Arabidopsis thaliana: one gene and its partner. The protein of the gene in region 1 interacts with the protein of each later gene in a pairwise test. Each region holds a gene or a part of one and is shown on either strand. Other genes may lie near its edges. The genes, in order: ACT7 and AT3G18060.

Region 1 (11,718 bases):
GTTTCATTCATGACCAGTTTGCTTGTGTGTTGTAGATGATGCGTCATTGCTTCGATTATTGGCGTAGTAATGAATTTCCCTTGTTTAAAAACCTTGTTAAACTATCGTTTGAGTCTAAGACGAAAAAAGGTTGGAAAGTTCTTTGGACTCTGATAAAAAGCTCTCCCAATCTAGAAACTTTGATCCTCAAGGTTTGTATGTATAATATGATCTCTTTTTCTCTTTCTCAATTATAAATTTAATCTCGGAGTTTCACTTACTGTGTGTTCTTTTCTTTTCTATCCGTTGTTTCAGGGTTTTCAGTGTGTAAGTACTTGTGGGTATAGCATTGATGGAAATACGTTGAAGGTGTTGGAGTTATACGGGTGTAGAGGGAATCTTAGAGAAGTCGAACAAGTGAGGCTGTTCTGTCGGAAAGTGAATTTCTTCAAGTAATGAAAGTGGAAATTGGTACTAAGGTTGATGTTGACAAGAAATTGCAACTCACCAAAGACCTCCTTCCTTATCCTAACGTTCCTCCAAATGCCAAATCCACTTCTTGTAATCTTTTAAATCCAATTTTGTTTTTGACTGCTCAATCAATCAAGATTCAGTTTGTTTTAGATACAAAGACAACATCTCCCTTGATAGAGCATATTGATAGCTTTACTTTTAATACGATTTTGCCAAGTCCAAACATAAAATTCTGGTTTAGAGTATCAACATTGCAATGATACTAGTACTAAAGAACATTGCAATTTATTCTCAAAGTTCTAATGGCATTGGCCGTGATAACAATTCCATTCACCTTCCAAAAAATCTCTTTCCTTACAACTTGAATTTTTTTTACCAACAAGTAATAATCCCTAAAGAAGTTAATACGGAGGGGGGATAATCAAAACGGCATAATATGTGTCGTTTTGGTTTCGTATACCGAAAGGCAAGATCTTGAGTTCACCTTGAACACCTTAAGAAGATCCGTTAGCATATGCCTAACGGTAAGCGAGCAATTACTCTGTAAAAGTAACAGTATCTTCGTAACGCCGTTAATTCTAATAACGGCATCTTGCGCCTTCTTTTCCTTGAAAAGATAACAGACGCTCCACAAAACCGTAACGGCGTGTTCAGTCGCCGCCGTCGACACTTTCATCAGCTTATTCACCACCGTCTCCACGCACACACCATCACAAATCTCCGATCGACCTTCTTTACAAGACGAAATAGCTTCGAGAAGCTTTAAGCATTTTTCCGTCACTGAAACGCTCGTAGTTGGATCTGTTAACAAACTCGTGAGTTTCGTGACTAGCTTTTCTCTGATTAATGCGAGTTTCACGCGTTTTGAAGACGCAATCGCGATTAATAAAGATAAATTCGCTTCGATTAAGCTTGAGTCGGAATCTGAGCTTATCAATTTAATAATCTCGGTGACCAATCCTTCTCCCTTGGCGATTATAAGCTTTGACTCTGCGTCGACGGCGATAAACTCAAGCACGGCGGAGCAATCGATCTTCAATTTTGGATTCCCGCGTTTAATCAATAGGAAGAAGGAAGTCAAGCAATCACCACCGTTCGTTAAGATCAGATTCGATAACCGTCTCCGATCGAAGATTTTCCGACGAATCATGCTCAGAATCTTCACCGCTTCTCCAACGAGTAGCAATTGAGAATCAGAGAAGTTTCTGGAATCGCTAATGAGATCCACAAGCATCGCTACGAAATCATCTTTCCCGGCGAGAAACTCTCTGTTCTCATCAGATTCTCTCGCGAACCGGAGAATCTTCGAACGAGCATCATTCTCGATCCGGAATCTCTCAATCGCAGCGTTAATTTCGTCTCGCGTCGGAGTATCGGATTCCGGAGACTCAGAATCGGCTCGACGGTTGATGGAGTCGGACCAGTGATCAATGAGACGGTGAAGAGTTAGGTTAGGTACGAATTCTTTGTTCTGAAGAATCTGCATCGTCGCGGGACAAGTATTGTTACCATCATCGAGCCAACGTTGGATGCTAACTCGGTCGTATGTAACGCCGGTGGAGAGACTCACCGGAGATTTCATCACATCAAGTGAAATTGGACATTTGAAGAAACAAGGGACGGTGGTGATGTAAAGATCATCGCTCCTCATGTTTTTGCTCTTTCTTCTTCGGCGAAAACGTTTCAAAGAGAGAATAAATAACAAAATCACTGAGAGAGAAAGAGACGTGACTCGTGTGGTTAGGTTTTAAGAAGATGATGAGTCATGAGAGAGAGTTCAAATATGCTGACGTCAAAATTCACTTTTTGAACAACCTCTTGATACTTTTCCATTTAAAAAAAAATATAATTACGTTATTTTATTTTATGAATCTTAATTTTTTTAAATTATGCTAAGGTTTTAAATAATATGGAGAGACAGTTTTTTGTTAAATTGAGATTATTATTTACAGTAGTTAATAAAATTTCCCTAATTTTGCATGTTTATTTTCAACTTTGTATAACATTGGGAGAAAAAACTTTTTTGACATATTTATTTATTATATGCCAAACCCATGAAATGAATACTTTTCCGTATTTCGTTCTCTCACTTTTGGTCAAATAGTTGAGTCTGGGTATCTTTCGGCGCGCGTAGACTAAGATTTGTATTCGAGTTCATCTCAACCGTTAACAGTACCACCAACGGTACAGATTTCGCCTAAGGATCCACTTACATTTTAAAATTGCACCGTTCGAGGAAACTCGGGAACCTTTTGATTTCTTTTAAAGAGCCTATAAACAATTTGTCCAGTTCTCGTAAATAAAATACTCGTATTGTCCCTTGAAGAATTGTTGTAGTCATTAATATTTGTAAAACAAATGTGATAAAAGGAAGTGAACTTATTGACCAGACAGATTCGACGGCCTTTTGCAACTTTTGTTGCTTCCTTTTCCTTTTCAAAGTCCACTTTAAATAAAGTCTTTATCGATTACCTTAGCGACAAAGTGTCAATGACATCAAGAGTAAACTACTACTCGGTTATGTGAATGTGACAGTCCAGGCTCGTGTATGGGCCTTGTATGTAACCCAAACCATCGTTCGTAGGCTTAGTCATTTATTATTATTTTGCGAATCAGAGGCCCATTAAATTTACTCCTCTTTTTCTATGTCAATACATAGAAAACAAATAAAGAAAGAAGGCGAGTTATCGTTATGCTATAACCTCATCGCACTTTTTATGTTTTTTTGGTATGAGCCTCATCGCATTTGTTATCTTTATGATCGTGTTTATATTATATATGTAAATGTAGTGCGATTGCAATGAAATAACGTTTCTTTTAGTGAAGAATTGCGCTTAAGTTTTTGGCGGAGGGTAATTGTATTGCAAAAGTCACTAAACTTTAGAGAGAAGCATTTAACCTTTCGGATTACAAAAAAATACTGTGACAATAAAAAAAAAAAATCAATGAGAATGATGCATTGGAGAAAACGTGTATGAACAGATGGTCGGTAAAAAAAAAAAAAAAAACGTGTATGAACAGATGGTCGGTAATTAGCACGAAAATCGCTTTGGTTGTAATTTGTAATAGTACTATTTTATACTCGTATATTTTCAACAGTGTTGTTACAGTAACGCTAAGGAACTAGCCTGGACAAGCTTTTACATCTCATTTACTGTTGTTGTTCTGACACAACTACTGTTGTTGCCTTTTATGTTCGGTTTCCTTCGTTCTTCTAAGTTCTGACATCTTGTTCGTACAAAGGGGTCTCATCGTCATTATTCTCTGCCTTCAATATATATGCCGCAAAAGAGGATGCAACTCAAAAGTGTCCACTAAAGCTACGGTCTTTAAGTTGATGATTACGTTAAGGAAGATGTCCAAGAAATAAAAAGTTGATGTCTTGATGATGACTAAAATTTAGAATTGGTTGATCCGGTCTTGCGGTGCAGTAGTTGTATTGCCTGGTCGTTAAGTCACGTTACGTTTTAGCTCGAACTTGTTTTACGTAAAGGATAGATCTAGGAAATATAGAAACTTTTTTATGCATATGCGCGTGGTTTGCTCAATCAATTGTAAGAGATTGCAAGGATAGAATACACTATAGTATTATCAAACTGATATGAAATTATTTTATTTTGTCGTCAAGTAATATGAATTATATTTTTTTCACATAACATGAAATGAAAAGGCTTGACCTTGACCCACCACTAATTATTTTTCTTTCGTTTTCTTCTCTTTGTCCCCTCTCACTTTCACTCCACAGAGAGGATTAATTGATAATATATTATAGAAACAAATGTGAAATGTATTTTAAATTGAAAGTAAACTAAAAATCTTGACAATGTTAATAACCTGTAATCCTAATGGTCAATGCTAAAACCGTTATTATATGATCAGACATGGTCAAACCCACATAATACATGTTATTTCAAACGCAAAATTAGAAATATCATAAATATGCAATAGTACTTATACGTGAACCTAATTAAAGACAGCTATAAAGGAGTCTTCCTCCAACTTTTTTTGTCTTGTGGGTCATATCAAGAGCTATGAAGAGACGTTATTGTTTTTGCCCAACAACGTTTTTTACGCATTCCAATATGAGATCATGTTCAGAAATAGTTAATTTAAACTCAAGTGAAGGTAGTATAGGGGTAAAACATCTTGTGTCTCCAATTTGATTTAGTATGTTTTGAATAATGTAATTACTACGTAAATATCCATGATTAACTAGATTTAGGTTTAGTGCATGGTTTTCCTTAATAAGAGAGATAAGAATAGAACCATATGAGTAAATAAAAAGAAACATACAAATAGAACCATAAGTCAACATCTTTCCAATCAAAATCTCTCTCTCTTGATGTGCCCATATTTCTAGCTGTCAACAATTCACAGCCTTCTCTTTTTCATTCAATCACCCATCAACAAAAAAATAAAACCTTTTAAATATTAAATACTTCCACCCAAAACTCCTTCAAACAAAAATCACTTCCCTCCCTCCATCTCTCTCTATTCACTCTCCCAATTTACACCAATGTCTTCTCGAAGCCACCGATCAAGAAAATATCAACTCACGAGAACAATTCCTATTCTTGTTCTTCTTCTTGTCCTTTTGAGTTGCTGCAATGGAGCAAGAACCACGAACGTCTTCAACACAAGCTCGCCACCCAAACAAAAGGACGTCGTTTCGCCACCTCATGATCATGTCCATCATCAAGTACAAGATCACAAAAGTGTACAGTTCTTGGGGTCCCTGCCACGTCAGTTTCCGGTTCCAACTTCTGGTCCTTCCAGAAAACATAACGAAATCGGTTTAAGTAGTACTAAGACTTAATCTTCACCTTGTAGTTCAAAGGTTTGATTAATGAATCATCCTTTTTACTTCTGTAAGTTTTTTTTGTTTTAGTTTTTGCCCCTTTTGAATTTGGTTCAAACTGATGTAAATAGATTTCAGTTTGATTTATTTATGGGCAATGCTGTGGATACGATCAAATTTTTTAGTTTAATATTGGAACTTGTTTGATCCATTGAAATATTGCAAGTACGTAAGAGCATCCACATTGGTGGTTATTTATACATGTCTTTAAATATAAAACTATAAAAAATAATAATAATAAAATAATGAATGTCTTTAATTTGAGATTTGTGTCTTCCTAAAGACACTTTATACACAACAAAAGTGAAATGTCTTTAATTTTATTATTTATTTATACTAAAAACATATATAAAAAGTTGTCTACTCTAAGTGTACAAGAGCCGAGGATAGAAGGGTCGGTTTCTAATTAAACAATTATTGTTCTTTTTATTTTCCGTCTTCTAATTTGATATATATGAAATTATATATCATATGTTCACTGTATCCTAATCGTGGATTATTACGGACATAATGATAATTGTTGAGATATATACAAGTCCCGATCAATTTAGGCTACATCTGTTTGGTAGAATATTGATGGATATAAGCCGAGTAGTGATTTCAATATTTTATATCCACTCTCTTCTTATAAGTTATGGTAATAACAAATAGAAGGTTATTCTACATATACTAGTATTTGAGTTGGTGTTTAAATACCTCGGGTTATTCGGACATGCATAGAGAAAATATATGGTATTTTAAGATAAACATTATCCCATAATATATGGACATTGACAAATACAAATAATGTGTGTTCGTGCGTAAAAGAATTGTCATTTCTTTAAAATAAGAAGGAATGAAAGATTGAAAGGTATATGTTCTAACTAAAACGTGTGATTAAGATTGGACTTATATACATAGTTGATTACTTTGGATGTATCTTTTTGTTTAATTTTTGTTTCAATAATGTCATTGAGTAGTCGTTGTGAATACGATTGACCAACGGTTGCAGAGATATATTGGAGGATTTGATGTGATATCTCCTAAGAATTTCAGAAGTTCATTGAACGTTTTTTTGGGGTTAGTGAAATAGTATCATTTGTATCTTTTTGCATAATTTTTGAAAAATCATTCATATCCACTTGATTCTCATTCAAACTTTGAATACCTTTATTCGAATTCCATGTGATGATTTATACTTTTCAAGAACACTATGGTCCCTTGACTCCATTGTCTCGCTTACAACTTTAGTTTACGTCATTAACAAGTAATTAGGCTTGAGCTATAGCCTATAGCCTATAGATAAGCTAGTTAAAAGGTCAAACAAGGAGATTCCATAAACTGTAAAATAAAACTTCCAAAAATGGGTTGTATATAGGGAATTGTATCTTTTACATACGTTAGTTCTGACTGTATTATTTTTTTTAGTACTGTCCTTTTTTGTTCTTATATAAAAATGGATCGGATACACATTTAAACATTAGTACTTACGGGTACATGTCTATCCTCATATGTATTATCCAATACATACACTTACGGACATATGAAAGTGAACGATCGACTCTAATTCAAGTGAAGTAATTCTGCTAACTGCAATAATCTACATTTTATAAAGTTTGCACTTTTTTTTTGTTTTAGCTACGTTTGAATTCTTAACTTACTATATATATATTATTTAAAAAAGCTTACTATATTAAAACATCTTATATTTATTGATCAACCACTCATGAATCGAATTAAAAGTACTTCCACATATATGTATTCAAATTGTTTAGATAACTTAACCATCCTTTACGTGACAGCGCTATTCAATTACAACATGGGTCTTACAACATTTGGATTTATTTTGACGCCTTGTTGGTAATGAGTTTATTAGATAATTGAAATTTTTGGTCACCGCTGTCCGCTGCGATGGTGTGTGTATTATTATTAATCATGCATGCGTGTGAGATTGAATAAATTAATATAAGTCAAATTGGCTGAAAACGTTGTGACAAATACTAGAGTGTCTATATATATCAGGATTATGATATGCGGGCATGTGATGTGTCTAATGCGTACGTGTGCACTCGTGTCCACGTGCACATACACGTGCGGTGTACCCCGCGTTGATAGGGTCTCGATTATTTCCAATCACGTATATCAATTGTTTTTGTTTTTGTTCTTTTTGATAAAAAAAATTTTTGTTACTTCACAATTCACATATGTATCCAAATGCAAGCGACAAACATATTCGCACGAAAGAGTCGAATGTTTTGGTTAGTGATAGAACATTATATATTGATCTTGATCGTATGATTTCATTTATATTTAGGGACTGAATTATATATTATATTGTAACATTTAACATACAGTATATCATGTGTTGCTAGTTATGATTTACATGCACTTCGAAAATGGTATCTGATTTTTTATATGATTTAGAACTTATCTGGCACACATCATTGAATAGGATCTAACACATTAAAACACTGTCTAACTTATTTGTTTGTATGTGTGTGTTAAATCATCATTTTAGCTAAGATTTTTAACCATAGGCAAAGAAATGACTCAAATGAGCAAACGAGAAACTGCAGACAGCAACATATATCAAACTAACTCTAATAGGCCCAATATAGCCCAATAAGAAGTGTGACCGATGGAGGGAAGAATCGAATTTAAATGATACAGAGTTTTTTTGTTTGGAGAGGAATAGACTGATATGATAGTCCGTGAAAATATTTTCATCTTGTTTTCAATGTGGAGATATTTTAAAGTTTGAAACCAATCCAAGTTCTAAAACATCAAAAGCTTTTATTCTCTGTTTAAACCACTTGGTTGGTCTTGGTCTTCTTGAAATATACAAACCAGACCCAAACGATAATCAGTGAAGATGACTGCATCATTGGGTCTTTAAGTTTCCTATTGGGCCAAATCAGCCCAACTATATTATTGTTATTATTTCAGTCCATTAAAGATTTTCGGCCCGTTTTATCGTTGGGAATTCATCTATATTTCCCCAATTTGATGATACACAGAACAATTTCATGTGTATACGATAAGAGGCAAATTCAAAATTTGCAATCAATGTAAAGTGGAAATGAGAAGCATGGTGGCTCAAATCAACTTATCTTTCCTTGGAATACAAACTACAAATGATGACGGATTTGGCTTCCCTTTGAATTTACCTTTTACCTCTCTCTTTTTTTTTTTTTATAGGTAATGTTGTTATTGGACAAAAATGTTAAGAAAATAAAGGTGAATGATAAATTAGAAGAGTACCCATAACTATTTTGATTATTTAAGTTGCCAACCAAGCTAGACCACTTTCCAACTTTTATAGACAAAGTGTAAGAACTTAGCACATGCTTTCCAACAAGGAATATGAAACTTTATTTCAAAAAGATTATTGTTAAAGCTTTTAATCATTCTAAAAGGTGATTAATATTTGAATTATTGGAAGTAACTTGTTTTGGACATATACCAAATTAATCAATAGTATCAATGGACATATAACATGTTGTGAGACTATATCAATGTTATATTCCAAGCCAGTTAAACCAATTTATAATGATACCATTTATAGATAAACAATACACTTTACACACATTATTTTCTTAGAATTGGGTCTCATATAGAACACTCACAAAGGTGACTTATAAAAAATGCTTCAAAGATCCTAGTCTTTTAGTGTGCATTCCTCAAAATCGTAGTTGATATGTATCTTGCTCCTATTCGGGTTTTGGTCTAGAATTTTGGTTTCAGGAATTTTCAATTAACTCATTAAAACATTTATAACATAAAAAGATATATCACGAAAACCGATCAATCATTTAATATATTTTTATTTTATTTTATTTTTTGTCACAATAAAATCTAGACAATAGTGTTTAAACATTTATCAAAAAATTCACCTTACGATTAATTTGTTTTATATTTTGTGATGATGCAATTTAATCTATATAAATTATAAAACATATCGATAATCTGTGTTTTTCTTTTTCTACATATAAAATTCATAAAAATGAGAGTTTTGAAGCTCTTAAAATGGACTAGTCAACAATTGGCCAATCTTTGTTCTAAATTGCTAATAAACGACCATTTCCGTCAATTCTCCTTGGTTGCAACAGTCTACCCGTCAAATGTTTACTAATTTATAAGTGTGAAGTTTGAATTATGAAAGACGAAATCGTATTAAAAATTCACAAGAATAAACAACTCCATAGATTTTCAAAAAAACAGTCACGAGAAAAAAACCACAGTCCGTTTGTCTGCTCTTCTAGTTTTTATTATTTTTCTATTAATAGTTTTTTGTTATTTCGAGAATAAAATTTGAACGATGTCCGAACCACAAAAGCCGAGCCGATAAATCCTAAGCCGAGCCTAACTTTAGCCGTAACCATCAGTCACGGCTCCCGGGCTAATTCATTTGAACCGAATCATAATCAACGGTTTAGATCAAACTCAAAACAATCTAACGGCAACATAGACGCGTCGGTGAGCTAAAAAGAGTGTGAAAGCCAGGTCACCATAGCATTGTCTCTCCCAGATTTTTTATTTGGGAAATAATAGAAGAAATAGAAAAAAATAAAAGAGTGAGAAAAATCGTAGAGCTATATATTCGCACATGTACTCGTTTCGCTTTCCTTAGTGTTAGCTGCTGCCGCTGTTGTTTCTCCTCCATTTCTCTATCTTTCTCTCTCGCTGCTTCTCGAATCTTCTGTATCATCTTCTTCTTCTTCAAGGTGAGTCTCTAGATCCGTTCGCTTGATTTTGCTGCTCGTTAGTCGTTATTGTTGATTCTCTATGCCGATTTCGCTAGATCTGTTTAGCATGCGTTGTGGTTTTATGAGAAAATCTTTGTTTTGGGGGTTGCTTGTTATGTGATTCGATCCGTGCTTGTTGGATCGATCTGAGCTAATTCTTAAGGTTTATGTGTTAGATCTATGGAGTTTGAGGATTCTTCTCGCTTCTGTCGATCTCTCGCTGTTATTTTTGTTTTTTTCAGTGAAGTGAAGTTGTTTAGTTCGAAATGACTTCGTGTATGCTCGATTGATCTGGTTTTAATCTTCGATCTGTTAGGTGTTGATGTTTACAAGTGAATTCTAGTGTTTTCTCTTTGAGATCTGTGAAGTTTGAACCTAGTTTTCTCAATAATCAACATATGAAGCGATGTTTGAGTTTCAATAAACGCTGCTAATCTTCGAAACTAAGTTGTGATCTGATTCGTGTTTACTTCATGAGCTTATCCAATTCATTTCGGTTTCATTTTACTTTTTTTTTAGTGAAAAATGGCCGATGGTGAGGATATTCAGCCACTTGTCTGTGACAATGGAACTGGAATGGTGAAGGTGAGTTAGACTGTTTATTTAGATACTGTATGGTTCTAACCTTCTTTGTTGTACATGTGTAAGACTACTGATCATGATTTTTGTATATTAACAGGCTGGTTTTGCTGGTGATGATGCCCCGAGAGCAGTGTTCCCAAGTATTGTTGGTCGTCCTAGGCACACTGGTGTCATGGTTGGTATGGGTCAGAAAGATGCTTACGTTGGTGATGAAGCTCAGTCCAAGAGAGGTATCCTCACTCTGAAGTATCCAATCGAACATGGTATTGTAAGTAACTGGGATGACATGGAAAAGATATGGCATCACACTTTCTACAACGAGCTTCGTGTTGCCCCTGAGGAGCACCCAGTTCTACTCACAGAGGCACCTCTTAACCCTAAAGCTAACAGGGAGAAGATGACTCAGATCATGTTTGAGACATTCAATGTCCCTGCCATGTATGTTGCCATTCAGGCCGTTCTTTCTCTCTATGCCAGTGGTCGTACAACCGGTTAGTTCTTAACTCTAAACATCCAAGTCTGAGTTATATTATCTTCTTACTTGTATTTACTTAAAGTCGTTCTCTTTTTGTAACAGGTATTGTGCTCGATTCTGGTGATGGTGTGTCTCACACTGTGCCAATCTACGAGGGGTATGCTCTTCCTCATGCTATCCTTCGTCTTGATCTTGCGGGTCGGGATCTCACAGACTCACTCATGAAGATTCTCACTGAGAGAGGTTACATGTTCACCACTACCGCAGAACGGGAAATTGTCCGTGACATAAAGGAGAAACTTGCTTATGTCGCTCTTGACTACGAGCAAGAGCTAGAGACAGCCAAGAGCAGTTCTTCAGTGGAGAAGAACTACGAGCTACCTGATGGACAAGTCATAACCATCGGAGCTGAGAGATTCCGTTGTCCTGAGGTTCTGTTCCAGCCATCGCTCATCGGAATGGAAGCTCCTGGAATCCATGAAACAACTTACAACTCCATCATGAAATGTGATGTCGATATCAGGAAGGATCTCTATGGAAACATCGTTCTCAGTGGTGGTTCCACCATGTTCCCAGGAATTGCTGACCGTATGAGCAAAGAGATCACCGCTCTTGCACCTAGCAGC
Region 2 (11,718 bases), on another chromosome or scaffold:
AGTTCTTCACTCTATCTCCAAATGTTTGAAACAAAACTCTGCGTAATCCGCAAAATCTTCCCTGTAAATTGCCTCATATCAAATGATTGTAGCTTTTGAGGATGTTGCAGTAAGAGACTAAAGATTAAAAGATAAATCACAAGTTGGTGCTTACACTACTTGTTTACTAAGCAGGCCTTGATACTTTTGTTCCAAGGCTAAAGGAAGGTCATAGTGGTACAGATTAGCATACGGTGTAATCCCTAAGAATTAAGTTACATTCATAAGACAATTAATGATCAAATCAAAGTGTCTATGAATGTTCAATGTACTAAAAATCTATACCTTTTTCGATCAAGTAATCGATCAATCTATTGTAATAAGCAACTCCATTCGAGTTGATTTTACCGGATCCCTCTGTATTCATAAGCTGAAGTTATAGACTAATCTTAATCTAAAATATAAGCAATGTAATTAATTTTATACATTATCCAGTAATACCAGGGAATATTCTAGACCATGAAATGGAAAATCTGTAGGCATCAATGTTCAGGTTCTGCATCAAATCTACATCTTCCTGAAATGTGATTAACATGAACACCAAAGGATGTACATTATAATATAACCACACACAAAAAAAAATATATACATGATGATTTAGGAACAAAAGATTAGTGACAAGAAGTACCTTGTAACGATGATATTGGTCCACTGTTATCTCAGCAGTGGCATTGTTGGCAATCTTACCTGTGTTTTTTTACCAATGGTAAATAAGAAATCGAAATGATTAACTAATCAGTTTAATTAGTGAATTGTAATTAGATTGATTATGAGATTAACCAGGAATCTTGACGAATGCATCCCAAATGCTTGGACCACGACCATCTTGGTGGGTCTCGCCTTCGACCTGGTAAGCTGACGTGGCGGTTCCGAACAAGAATCCTTCCGGAAAACTCTTTCTGTTAAGACCGCCGGTGGCCAATGGGACGGCGTCTCCGGACGGCGACTCTTCGCCGGAGCGGGAAGCAGAGAGGAGGAGGAGAAAAAGAAACATGTGAAGCTCACTATGGGACAGAATGTGGGGACTGGGGAGTGAATTATGAACGAGGATCAATGTGTGTCTTCTTGCTTCAGGCTTAGAATTATAAGCGAGATTAATTATTTAATCATTTTTGTTAATAAGGTTGATTAACTATTGATCAGATAAATTAATTGAAAAATCTCCTCTGTTTTCATCTACTTCAGAAAACAACTTTTGTAAGAAGAACAAATATTATAGAGCCCAAAAATCATTGAGAGAAAGCACAATCTCAAGTCCCATTCTGTATCAGTAATCTTCTGATAATGAAAAAAAATCTGACTCAAGATCTCAGTTTCAGACCAAAACAGAGCATTCATTTTTGACAAAAGATATGCAGACAAAAAAAAAAACAGACACACACATCAACACAGCCACGGCCAAACGGAAGATTCACAAAAAAAGCCTTCAAAAGTAGTAGAAGCTTTCCAAAGAGACAAGATAGGACTTGTCCAGAGATCTTTATAATTTACGTCAAGTCTTATTGAGGAGTAAAGCTCCAGACGCGGATACAAGCATCTTCACCAGAACTCACTACATGGGAATCATCAGCAAAACCCAGACCATATACTCCACCTAAGTGAGCTCCTTTTATTGTCATGCGTGACGAAGCAGGTTTGTCCACTTCATACACAATCACACACGTGTCCAAGGATCCTGTGGCAACCATAGTGCTGTTTGGAGACCAAGCTAAGCAGTTTATGCGGGCGCTATGGTACAACATGTTCTTGAGTTTCATCTGTTTAAAAAAAAAGGGACGATATAAGATCAGTGTTTGTGTTCCAGATTCATGGAGAGATTCTAAATAATCTTAATTACTTACCTCTCTGGAGACTCTGTCCCACACAACTGCTTCTCTGTTCAAATCAGCTGATGCAAACATAGACAAATCTGGAGAGTAACGTATGACGCTGATGGCGCCTCTGTGTCTCTCGAGAACTGCTTCCTCGGTGAGGGAGTCACCATTAATAGAATACAAATGGAGTTTACCGTCTTGGCCACCGATGACAGCTTCGGTTCCATCAGGTGTTACTGCCAAAGCAGTGACAATGAACCCAAGGTTGATGGTTGACACTACTTTCCCATCACGAAGAAACACAACTCCTGACTCAAAGGTCACCAGAAGGAGATCGGGTGAGAGTGGTGCAAGGCTTAGATCCTTTGGTTGATTTCCAATGTCGATAGACTCTTCATTTGTGCATTGATCATCTTTATAGGAGATCCTGGATATCTGAATAAGAATCACATAGTGAATAAACGTGAGTTAGTTGCTTCAATAACAATAATGCTTGGAAGCAATTAGATAACCTACGAAATAAAAAATATTAGTCACTGCTAGTCTTACAAGGTAAAGACCATTTGGCCTTCAGTGATCGCTCTTTTAAATTCTCTAAACCACAAGATCATTAGTATATTTTTCCAAAGTGTTAATAATCTTAAGAGACCATTGTGTCTTTAGAATTGCCAATATTTCAGAGAGAAAAAAACCTAATTCACTTGTTTCGTCCTTACATTCAATCCCCTAAACACCAAATTCAGACACTGCAGAAATCAAGGTGACAAGTCCTACATGTGAATAAAAATTAAAGTGAGAACCAGTTTACCTTATTGTCATATCCAGAGGTCACGATCTCTTCTTCATGGGCAGCAAAGCACTTTATTTGAGAGTTTTGTGTCCGCTGCAATTTACCGCAAAAACCACGGCCTAGCATCCATTTACATATCAGTCCATCATAACTACCGGATAATATGTAATCAGCGTTTCCTTTAAGCACAGCTAAGGAAGAGACGTTCTTCATGTGTCCCGAAAACTGAAAGGGGGATTTATCCAGATCGCTTGCTGAGAATATGCTGATTGTGCCACCTAGAGAAACAGTGACAATATGATCGTTCTGCCACAGACACCCAACAAGCATATCGTCTACTCCACCTGATGATCCAGGACAGTTCAATGTTGTATTCAATGATCCACTACCGTTGTCTGATATATCCCATATTTTGGCTGACTTGTCTGCGGAAACAGTGAGCACCTGGTTGATGATTCAAACATATACAACACGTGAGTACAGACGTAGCATAACATCAACCATGATGTAATCAACAACTAGAAGATAGAGAATATGTCATTCAGTCTTCATAGATACACCCAAGATAGTTCATTTATGTACGTCATACTGCAGCAGGTTAGACCAATTACTTCCATACGCTATTCTAGTAGACCTTGTTTAAGCCTAATGTAGTTTGAGCGTAATATGAGGGAATCAGGCAAGAGTTGAGAATACGGAACAACAAACAGATATAACTTAGTACCTGTTTACCATCAGGACTCCAGCTGACTGCATAGATGCTACCTTTATGCCCATCATCAGAAGACAGTTCTCCCAGTATCTCACAAGTCTTTCCATCATATATGATTCCCTTCTTATCTGAACTCACAGTAATGAACTTACTTCCATCTGGTGCAAACCTCACACAGTTGACAAAGTTGGAATGCTCTCTGTCGACCAATAAACAGCAATCTCGTAAACAATTCAGAAACTCACAAGCAGGAAATTTAAACAGATATCGAAAGTGTCATATTTCTTTAAAGAAAGGGAGCACATGAATATCTGACCTGCTTGAGAGCTTGAACTTAAAAGGAGGACCTTCATAGAAATTCACCAGAAAATCCTCCCCACAAGTTACAATACGGAACGGCCTAGTTGGCTTGATAGCACAGCTAAGAACTCTCCTAGAATGACCATCAAACTCTCCCACATTTGATCCTGAATCCCACCTAATAAACCAAGACAAACAATGAGTCAATAATCCATCAAAGTTGAGAAGAAGAAACAAAATGCTCAATTTCAATCTGATTAATATCGATCCGATTCAACAAAATAAAAGCAACACCAGCAGAAAAACAAAACCTTTAGTCCGATCAATCAAAATCAACGAAAACAACATTGAGCTAAGCACTATAAAAATCAAATCTTTATCTAAAAAGCAAAACCAAACTCACATGAAAGCACGAACAAGAGATTTGCCTTTGCCATCACCAGAAGCAACGATCCTCATCCCATCAGCAGACCACTGAAGATCATCGATCCGACCAGCCAAAACCTTAAACTCATTCTTCAACACATGATCGTTGTAAGCTCCCCAGATTCTAACAGTCCCCGACACATCACCAGACGCGATCCACTCTCCGTTCGGAGAATATCGCGCCACAGTAGCTGGGTAAGCGTGCTCACCATAGATAGAGACCTTTAAAGGATTGTTAAGGTCGAGAGTCACGACGGATCGACCATTAGTGTAGAGGATGGTATCGGACTTCGAGTTACCAGAGATCAGAATTCCTCTACCTCTCTCCGTCGATGGAACACAAGCATAGGTTTCTGAAAGCTCCATCAGAACCGAGGACTTTGCAGAGATTGTTTTTGGGTTTACGGGGAAGAAGAGAGACGAGGAAAATGGAAGGACGGATTTGAGTCTTTTTGAGTTTTGTTTGACATTACATTTGTTAATATTTAGTTGTTGTAATTAGAAAGATAATGTAATGATAATCATTGTTGCAACATTCACTTCTCTGGCACAAACTCATTAGATAACCCAAAAATAATGTAAAGTGTAGTTGTATAATAGTTTTGTGCTAATCACTTTGTTTCTTAAGACTTACATATCATAATGCAGAGTAGTATATAACATTAAGAATAATAAACTTCCATTGATTTTTGTTGGAAATACCTTGAATTATGAACAATTTTGAAAAATTATATATTTTCTACTAAATTAGAAATGAGTGGAACCAAATTATTTCTCTATTATCTTCATTCCATTTTAATCAATTCCTCAATCTCTCATGTTTTTACCATTGTAATTTTAGATTAGACTAATGGGTGTGTTATTTGGCCAAAAAGGTAAATGTGCGGCCCATGGGCAAGTTAGTTTAGCCCAGCCCAGTTATATACGCAATAATGCCAAAGTCAATGAATCGCTAGCAGTTGATTGGCGCATTAGTGAACCTCTATCTAATCACTACCACAAAAAAAATGTTATGAAATATCTTTTTCATAATATTTCTCAAAGGAAAAATCTAACGAATGGAAGCATTCGATTATTGAATGAAATATTATTTGAACTATATGAGAAAATAAAGTGTCAGTCGTGGGGCTTTTTACATCTCTTGGTCGCATTGATAATTCATATAAAATATAGAATATGATAGGGATGAATCATGAATGTATTATTGTTATAGGAGCATCCGTGGTTAGAGAGAAGATAAGGAAACATAAGAACAAAGCTGTCACAAGTCTCTCTGTCTCTCTCAAACCAGCCACACCACCTCGTCCCCATTACTCACATGCCTTTCTCTGACTATTATTCTTCTCCTCCCAAAAACTGATATATTTATATTGATTGCGCTCATATAATTTGATATGACCGAAAATATTGTTGAAATATTTTCAAATTGTGATTTTTCAATATTTAATTGACAAAATACAACAAGATTTTTTTGATGTAATAAAATGTTAAAGAACATGGCTACTAAAACAACAACGACACCAAAAAACTAATTTACAAAGACAGAACCAAAGCCCTCTCTCTTTCTCTCTATCTGAATTTCACTTCTCTCAACCAACCACGTAATGCCACGTGCTCCACGTCACAATCAAATCCAACCATGGTGTGCCACGTCACCACGACCTTATTAGGACTAATGTGATAACGCTGTAAAGTAAGAAGTGGACCAAGTGGTGCGGATACTGAAGTGAAGTTGGCGAGCCGTTGGAGAATTCGGAAGAATCGACGGCTAAAGGCATGCCGTCGCTGCCGAGAGCACATGAACGTGGCACGCCATCGTGGTTCAGCATGACGGCTCGGAGGACAGAAGTGACAGTGGGGAAATAAGCAGTACGGTTCTTAGCGAGAAGCCAAGTGAGACCCATGAGGACACAGTCTTTGTTGTGCATCTTTGCTGTTCTGTTTCGGTCTTCCTTTGATGGGTTTCTTGTCCCTGAAGTTTTCTTCGGATTTAGCTGCAAAATGAAGCAGAAGTGTTTGTTTTGATTAGGGTTTGTTGCTGCTGACTAAAGTAATGATTGAGGATTGTAGAAAGTAGAAAGGTGGCAACTAGTTGCTAAGCTTTTGGCTATGGTGGGTTGGTGATTAAGATGCAGAAGAATGAAATCATATGATGGAAGACAAAACGTCGCGTGGAGATCACGGATTCTGTTAGCGCGTATATGTGTGTCAGACTGTCAGATAGAAAGAGAACAAAAAGCTAAAGAACAAAACTTTTCCCAAATTACTACCATTCGCCATATGATGGATAGATCAGAAAGAATCCTAAACTACATAATTCCAAATCTTCACTCACTCATATAGTAAAACCCTAATCCTTAAACACCAAATAAATATCATTAAAAAAGGGCTTCTAAACTTTGGACTAAACCTTACATAGTTAACTACTATAACTAGTCCATCAATTCCTCATTACTCATCCAAAAAATTGTCTTAATCAGTCAATCAAACAAAATCCAGAAGCTAAACACCAACAACGCTTCAGGGTATCTATAGATTATCTAAAAGTTACTAGATTTGCACACACATTTTACCAATTTAGCCAACCTAATTCCATTTGAACTTCACAGTGGCAGCTTCTAAATATAGCAGCAAAGTTAGTGACTTTACCTTATAGAGACTGTTCAAGCACTTGTTGCAACCAAGAAGAGGTGAGAATCCATCAGCATTGTTGTGGCTTCCACTCAAACAATCAGTCTCTAATCTATCAACTCTCTCGTCTCCAACGAGTCTCCCTTCATCATTCACTCTAAAAGCCTCGGAACAGCTCAACGGATGCAATCTGATTCCACAGTAGCAGTAAACGACGTCGCAAGTCTCGTTCGGTCTAGTGAGCTCAATCCCTCTCTGCCTCAGAGATTTCCCTAATCCGTCAACGCAAGTCTCCGAGTCATCGGGAAGCAAAGGCATATCTTCTTCAGGAGTCGTTACCGCGGCGGAGGAGGAGGATGAGTTTCTTGCGGCGGCGGAAATCGAACGGCTTAGAGCAGTGGTTGAGTAAGCAGAGTAGAGCCACGCGCCTAGTACGGGGCAACATTTTCCTTTGTGGAGCTTTTTGCCGCTGCAAGCTGACTTGATGCCGTGGAAGAGGTCTTCTGGTAAATCGAGTGGGCAGCCGGAGAAATCGGATTGCTCCGGGAAAGCGGGTATGGTTGCGGGTGGGGATGATTTGACCCGGAATGGCTGGACTGTGACCGGTTCAGGTGAAACGGGTGATAGAATGGTGAAGAGGAAGATGATGATGAGGGAAATGGAAGAAGGCGCGTGTTGGAACATCGCCGGAACAGAGGAGACAGAGTAATAGAGAAAGAGAGAGGGACAAAGAGTGAGAGACTGGAAGAGATGTGTAATAAAATATCACAAATGGGATCTCGATATATACCAATTTAATACTACTAAGTCAGTTTTTTTATTAGTTTTAATAATGTAAAAAAATCAGTGGAAAAAAATTTGTGATCAAACATTCTTAAAATTACAAAACATTTCTTATGCTTCGTTAACACTCCATTTTTCAGTGTGTAGGACAATAATAGAAAAAATAAACTTTTTAATCGTAATCCATGCTGGCGACTATTTTATGAATAATGAAATCATATTGGATTATTACTTATTAGGGTAACCTTAGTTGAATATTGAGGGTTGTGAATCACGGGACGATTGTTCTTTGCATTGAAACTTGAAAGATCACAGAGGCAAGTGATCGACAGGTTCACTGTTATTTGTTAATAATTTCAATACATAAGAGTTTGGAAGGATTCGTTTAAGTTTAGCTTATCATATTTGAGTACTTTTTTATTTTATTTTTAAACGCTACATATTTACTAGATTTGATATGTAATCTGTATAATCAATAAAATTAGCAGAGTCCGATTTCAACAATGCAGATAAACTACAAAATTATAGTACTAGCATGTGTTTGTCTCGTAATGCAGATAAACTTTTCCGTTAATTAGTTTACAATATAATGCAATTAATTTTTCGCAACTTAAATGTCATGGAAAACAAGAGACCATGCAATTTTTTCAATCACTAATATAGCTATAAGAAAAAAGTCGTCAGATTAGTTTTATTATGGTTATAGACTTATACTTTAGCTGTTTTGTCAATTTTCATGAAACTTTTGAGTTGTAATAAAACATTTTTTTGATAAAGAAAAATAAAGAGTTGTATAACAACTTTACTCTTATTTCCATGAAATAAAAAAAATATTCTATCTCAAAAGAAAAAGAAGTCTAACTTCTGTCTTTTTGTTCCAAGTGTTTTTTAGTCCTTTGATTTCTAGGAGTCTCTATTAATTTGGTTTTGTTTTGTTTCTTATTTTGTTGAAGCAAGAACTAGTTGGACGACGACGACCACAAGAACATAAACACTAGGAGTCTAGGATTTATCTCGAGATTAATAGTACAAGTATGTTCATGGAATTTTACTTTTATATCCATTTTACCCACAAAACACTATTGGTTGATAGTAAAAAGGAAAAAGAAAGAATTATGTGGAGCTCCATGTTAAAAAGGTAATGTCAGGCATGCGAATGGTTTGTTGTAGTGAAAGCTGCTTAAACTATAACACTACAAAACCCTTTTTCGGGAATGCCATTACAAAAGTATCTATCTATAACGTAATGCAAGATGGATTCACTTACGTCACAAGGACAAGAGACTATTTTACTATAGAGTTACAAATGGTAAATTTATAATATACTTACCGTGTTCAAACTTCAAATATCATATCAAAAATAAACTTAGTCAGTCAATTTGGATATAGACTTAGACTATAGAGTAAAAGAAGAAACTAAAATTTACAACATTATTGTAGGGGTTTTTGTACATATGGGCATATTTTGACCCAAAAATTAGAATAGAAACATATTTTATTTGGGCTTATAAGTCTGGGTACTTTTTGGTCTGTAAATGACCATTTTGCCCTCGAATGTGTTGATGATGATCTTCATCTTCTCCGTCGTGAGACAACAACCTCACTGTCTCCAAATTGAAATTGAGAAGTACAAAGAAGACGATAACTACCCATAACCCATGATATGAAAATCCAAATTAAAAATAAACTCATTATCGGAACTTCCTATAATTACTAAACCCATAACTCCACAAACGATAAATACCCAGATTTAATTTTGAATCAATCAACAATCAAATCTCGTTTCCTTCTCCTCCGATGATTCACACAACATTTCTATGACCAACCTTTTTCGATGAATCCAATGGAACTAATTAAACAAGTTTTGTTGCAAGAAAACTAAACCCTAAGGGATGATGTTTAGGGAACCCAAAGGCTTTAATTATAGACACAGATCGATCCATCTCAACTGTAAAACAATCTGATTGTGAATCATGAGCAACTAAGCCATCTTCATCAAACTCGCATCTGAATCAAGAGCTTGAAGAAGGAAGAAAGAATGAAGAAACAATAAAAGGATAAATTAGTCTTTTAGAGAAAAAGAAAATACCCATCCTTATAATCACTTGAGAATATGCCTGAATTCAGAAGAGACCATACTTTACTATGGTTTCCTCGTAATTGATCCCATTATTGTATATTATAGACTACTTTAAAGTTGATCTTTTCAAGTTATTTATGATATGTAGAGCTTGTAACAGCATTTTCACCAGCTCTAAAGAGATTATTAGTAAGTAAACCAAAAGAGAACAAAGAAAAAGTAAATGGGACGACTAAAAAGAAGAAATTCAGCAGTAAATCAAGTTAGGTTAGGCACATATGGGTCATGAAGAAAACACACACTTTAACTATAATTTATAATGCCTGATAAAGTCAAATACTTGTCAGGCATAAATCCAGGGGTTAACACAATTCTTCTTTAATTATATTCTCCATCCATTTTTAATACAACTCGACTTGATGGACAAATTGAAGACCAATGAAGGTTAAGTTGTTTTGTTCATAGCTCATGAGTCATGTCTCTCAATATCTCTATCAAGATCAGACTTCTTCTTCGTCTTCTCTGAGAGATGTGTACAAGACTTGTAGAATCAGCCGTCTACTGTTAGCAACAAGTTTCAATCCTCAATCTCTGAAACAAGTCAAGTGTGGAGAGCCGCGACCTTTTGAGACAGAGCATCAACCGTATCATTGTTTGATTCCCCGTACTGCAAAAAACTCAAGAATCTGAAGAACAAGTGTAGACAAACTTGTACTATATAATACATCTCATCTAATGCTTCTTGATATTTTACCTCGGACTTGTTTCTTGGTTTCATGCCAATGCATTTAGATGCACTGATGCTGGCACTTTTCAGCAAGCTGCGAGCGCTGTAACCCGTCTGGCTCGTCCCATTCCTGTAGTCTGACCCCTCGTGTTGTGACGTTGGAGGGCTTTCGAGGGTCGTGACTAAAGACGCTATGGATCTGTTCTCGATATCGTGATTATGTGATCCATTCTCTTTCTTAGGAGCAGGGACTCGCTCTCTGAAACAGAAGAGGTTCCAACACAACATAATGGAATGAGATGATGCAAACTTTAAAAGAATCCGGGAAATCAGTTTTACTGACAAACCAACAAACGAAATTGTATACCTAGGCAAGGAAGCGTGTTGGCGTTGAAGAGGTGAGCCTTTCTCACCCTTACCGTAATTTTCCTCAAGATGAGCAAATTGTCTCTTAAAGCGATCAACACCACTGCATTTTCATTTAGATTACAAAATCTTTATCTTCACTTCTCATAATTCGTAGTAAATTTTGAACACGGATTCTAAATGTTTTTATATACCTTGGGTACATGAAGCTAGTCTGTTCTCCACCTCGAAGATATTCTTGCAGCATCTGAGGATGATACTCTAATATCTGCATCACATTCAACTTTTGTAAGGATTACGATTACCCGATGGATACGTGCGAAAAAGGAAGAAGATACATTTTGCCATTGTTCAGAGCTTAATCAATCCAAACAAGTTTAGTGAAGCAAAAACAGTAAGAGATTAGTGTACCTCTCTGTAGATCAATTCTCTCACATCTTCTTTTGTTATCTTCCTTCTTTCAAACTCAAACTCGAGTTTCGGAATCGGTTGAGTAGATGGTTCCCGATCAACGTTTGCCAGACCATAGAAGTAAGGATCTGCCAGTGCCTGTATATACACACACACATGTATATATAATGTTTCCTTTTCTGAGAGCGATTGAAACTGCTCTGAAATTTTGAAGTGGAAACGCTAGAAAAAACAAGTATAGAGGAGCTAACCTCTTCAGCTGAGGGACGGTCTTTGGGATCAAATGCAAGAAGACGGTGCAGTAAGCGAAGGGCCAATGGGTCTACATGAGGAAATTTGTGAGTGAATGGAACTGGCGGTTTTCTCCTCATATTGCCGAGATATCTCCTCGCCTTTTCATTACGAATCTGCAACAACACAAAACACTGATCATCATTACAGGAAATAGAAATCTGATACAATCAATCCTGGTCTAGTAATGATATAACAGTAGTATTCCCATACCTCTGTGGGACACATACCTAAGTGAGTTTTCCTACCAATTAATATGAATCCAACCAAAGCTAGCATAAACTACTTGCCACATAACTGTGGCCGGAAAGTACTAGTAAGCAAATAGTCATGGTTTATAAAACTTTT

The links.
Region 2: the proteins of ACT7 (region 1) and AT3G18060 interact in a two-hybrid assay, tested with the Arabidopsis thaliana proteins (2 studies listed by BioGRID).

The regions. Positions count from the first base shown.
Region 1 is NC_003076.8:3,042,249-3,053,966, forward strand, and holds the start of ACT7 (actin 7), read left to right. Parts: upstream 1-9,813; 5' UTR 9,814-10,014; intron 10,015-10,554; 5' UTR 10,555-10,560; coding exon 10,561-10,620; intron 10,621-10,714; coding exon 10,715-11,108; intron 11,109-11,194; coding exon 11,195-11,718. Other genes in the region: AT5G09800 (ARM repeat superfamily protein), read right to left, coding at 875-2,104; IDL3 (inflorescence deficient in abscission (IDA)-like 3), read left to right, coding at 4,970-5,269. UniProt on the Arabidopsis thaliana protein: Actins are highly conserved proteins that are involved in various types of cell motility and are ubiquitously expressed in all eukaryotic cells.
Region 2 is NC_003074.8:6,176,609-6,188,326, reverse strand, and holds AT3G18060 (transducin family protein / WD-40 repeat family protein), read right to left. Parts: upstream 4,716-11,718; 5' UTR 4,448-4,715; coding exon 4,059-4,447; intron 3,834-4,058; coding exon 3,672-3,833; intron 3,555-3,671; coding exon 3,368-3,554; intron 3,088-3,367; coding exon 2,662-3,087; intron 2,289-2,661; coding exon 1,881-2,288; intron 1,797-1,880; coding exon 1,539-1,796; 3' UTR 1,176-1,538; downstream 1-1,175. Other genes in the region: BGLU43 (beta glucosidase 43), read right to left, coding at 1-61, 160-242, 325-396, 481-556, 668-726, 820-1,033; AT3G18050 (GPI-anchored protein), read right to left, coding at 5,734-6,075, 6,731-7,396; MPK9 (MAP kinase 9), read right to left, coding at 10,177-10,561, 10,670-10,771, 10,863-10,936, 11,080-11,217, 11,331-11,486. UniProt on the Arabidopsis thaliana protein: Binds actin. Enhances the F-actin depolymerization activity of actin-depolymerizing factor (ADF) proteins.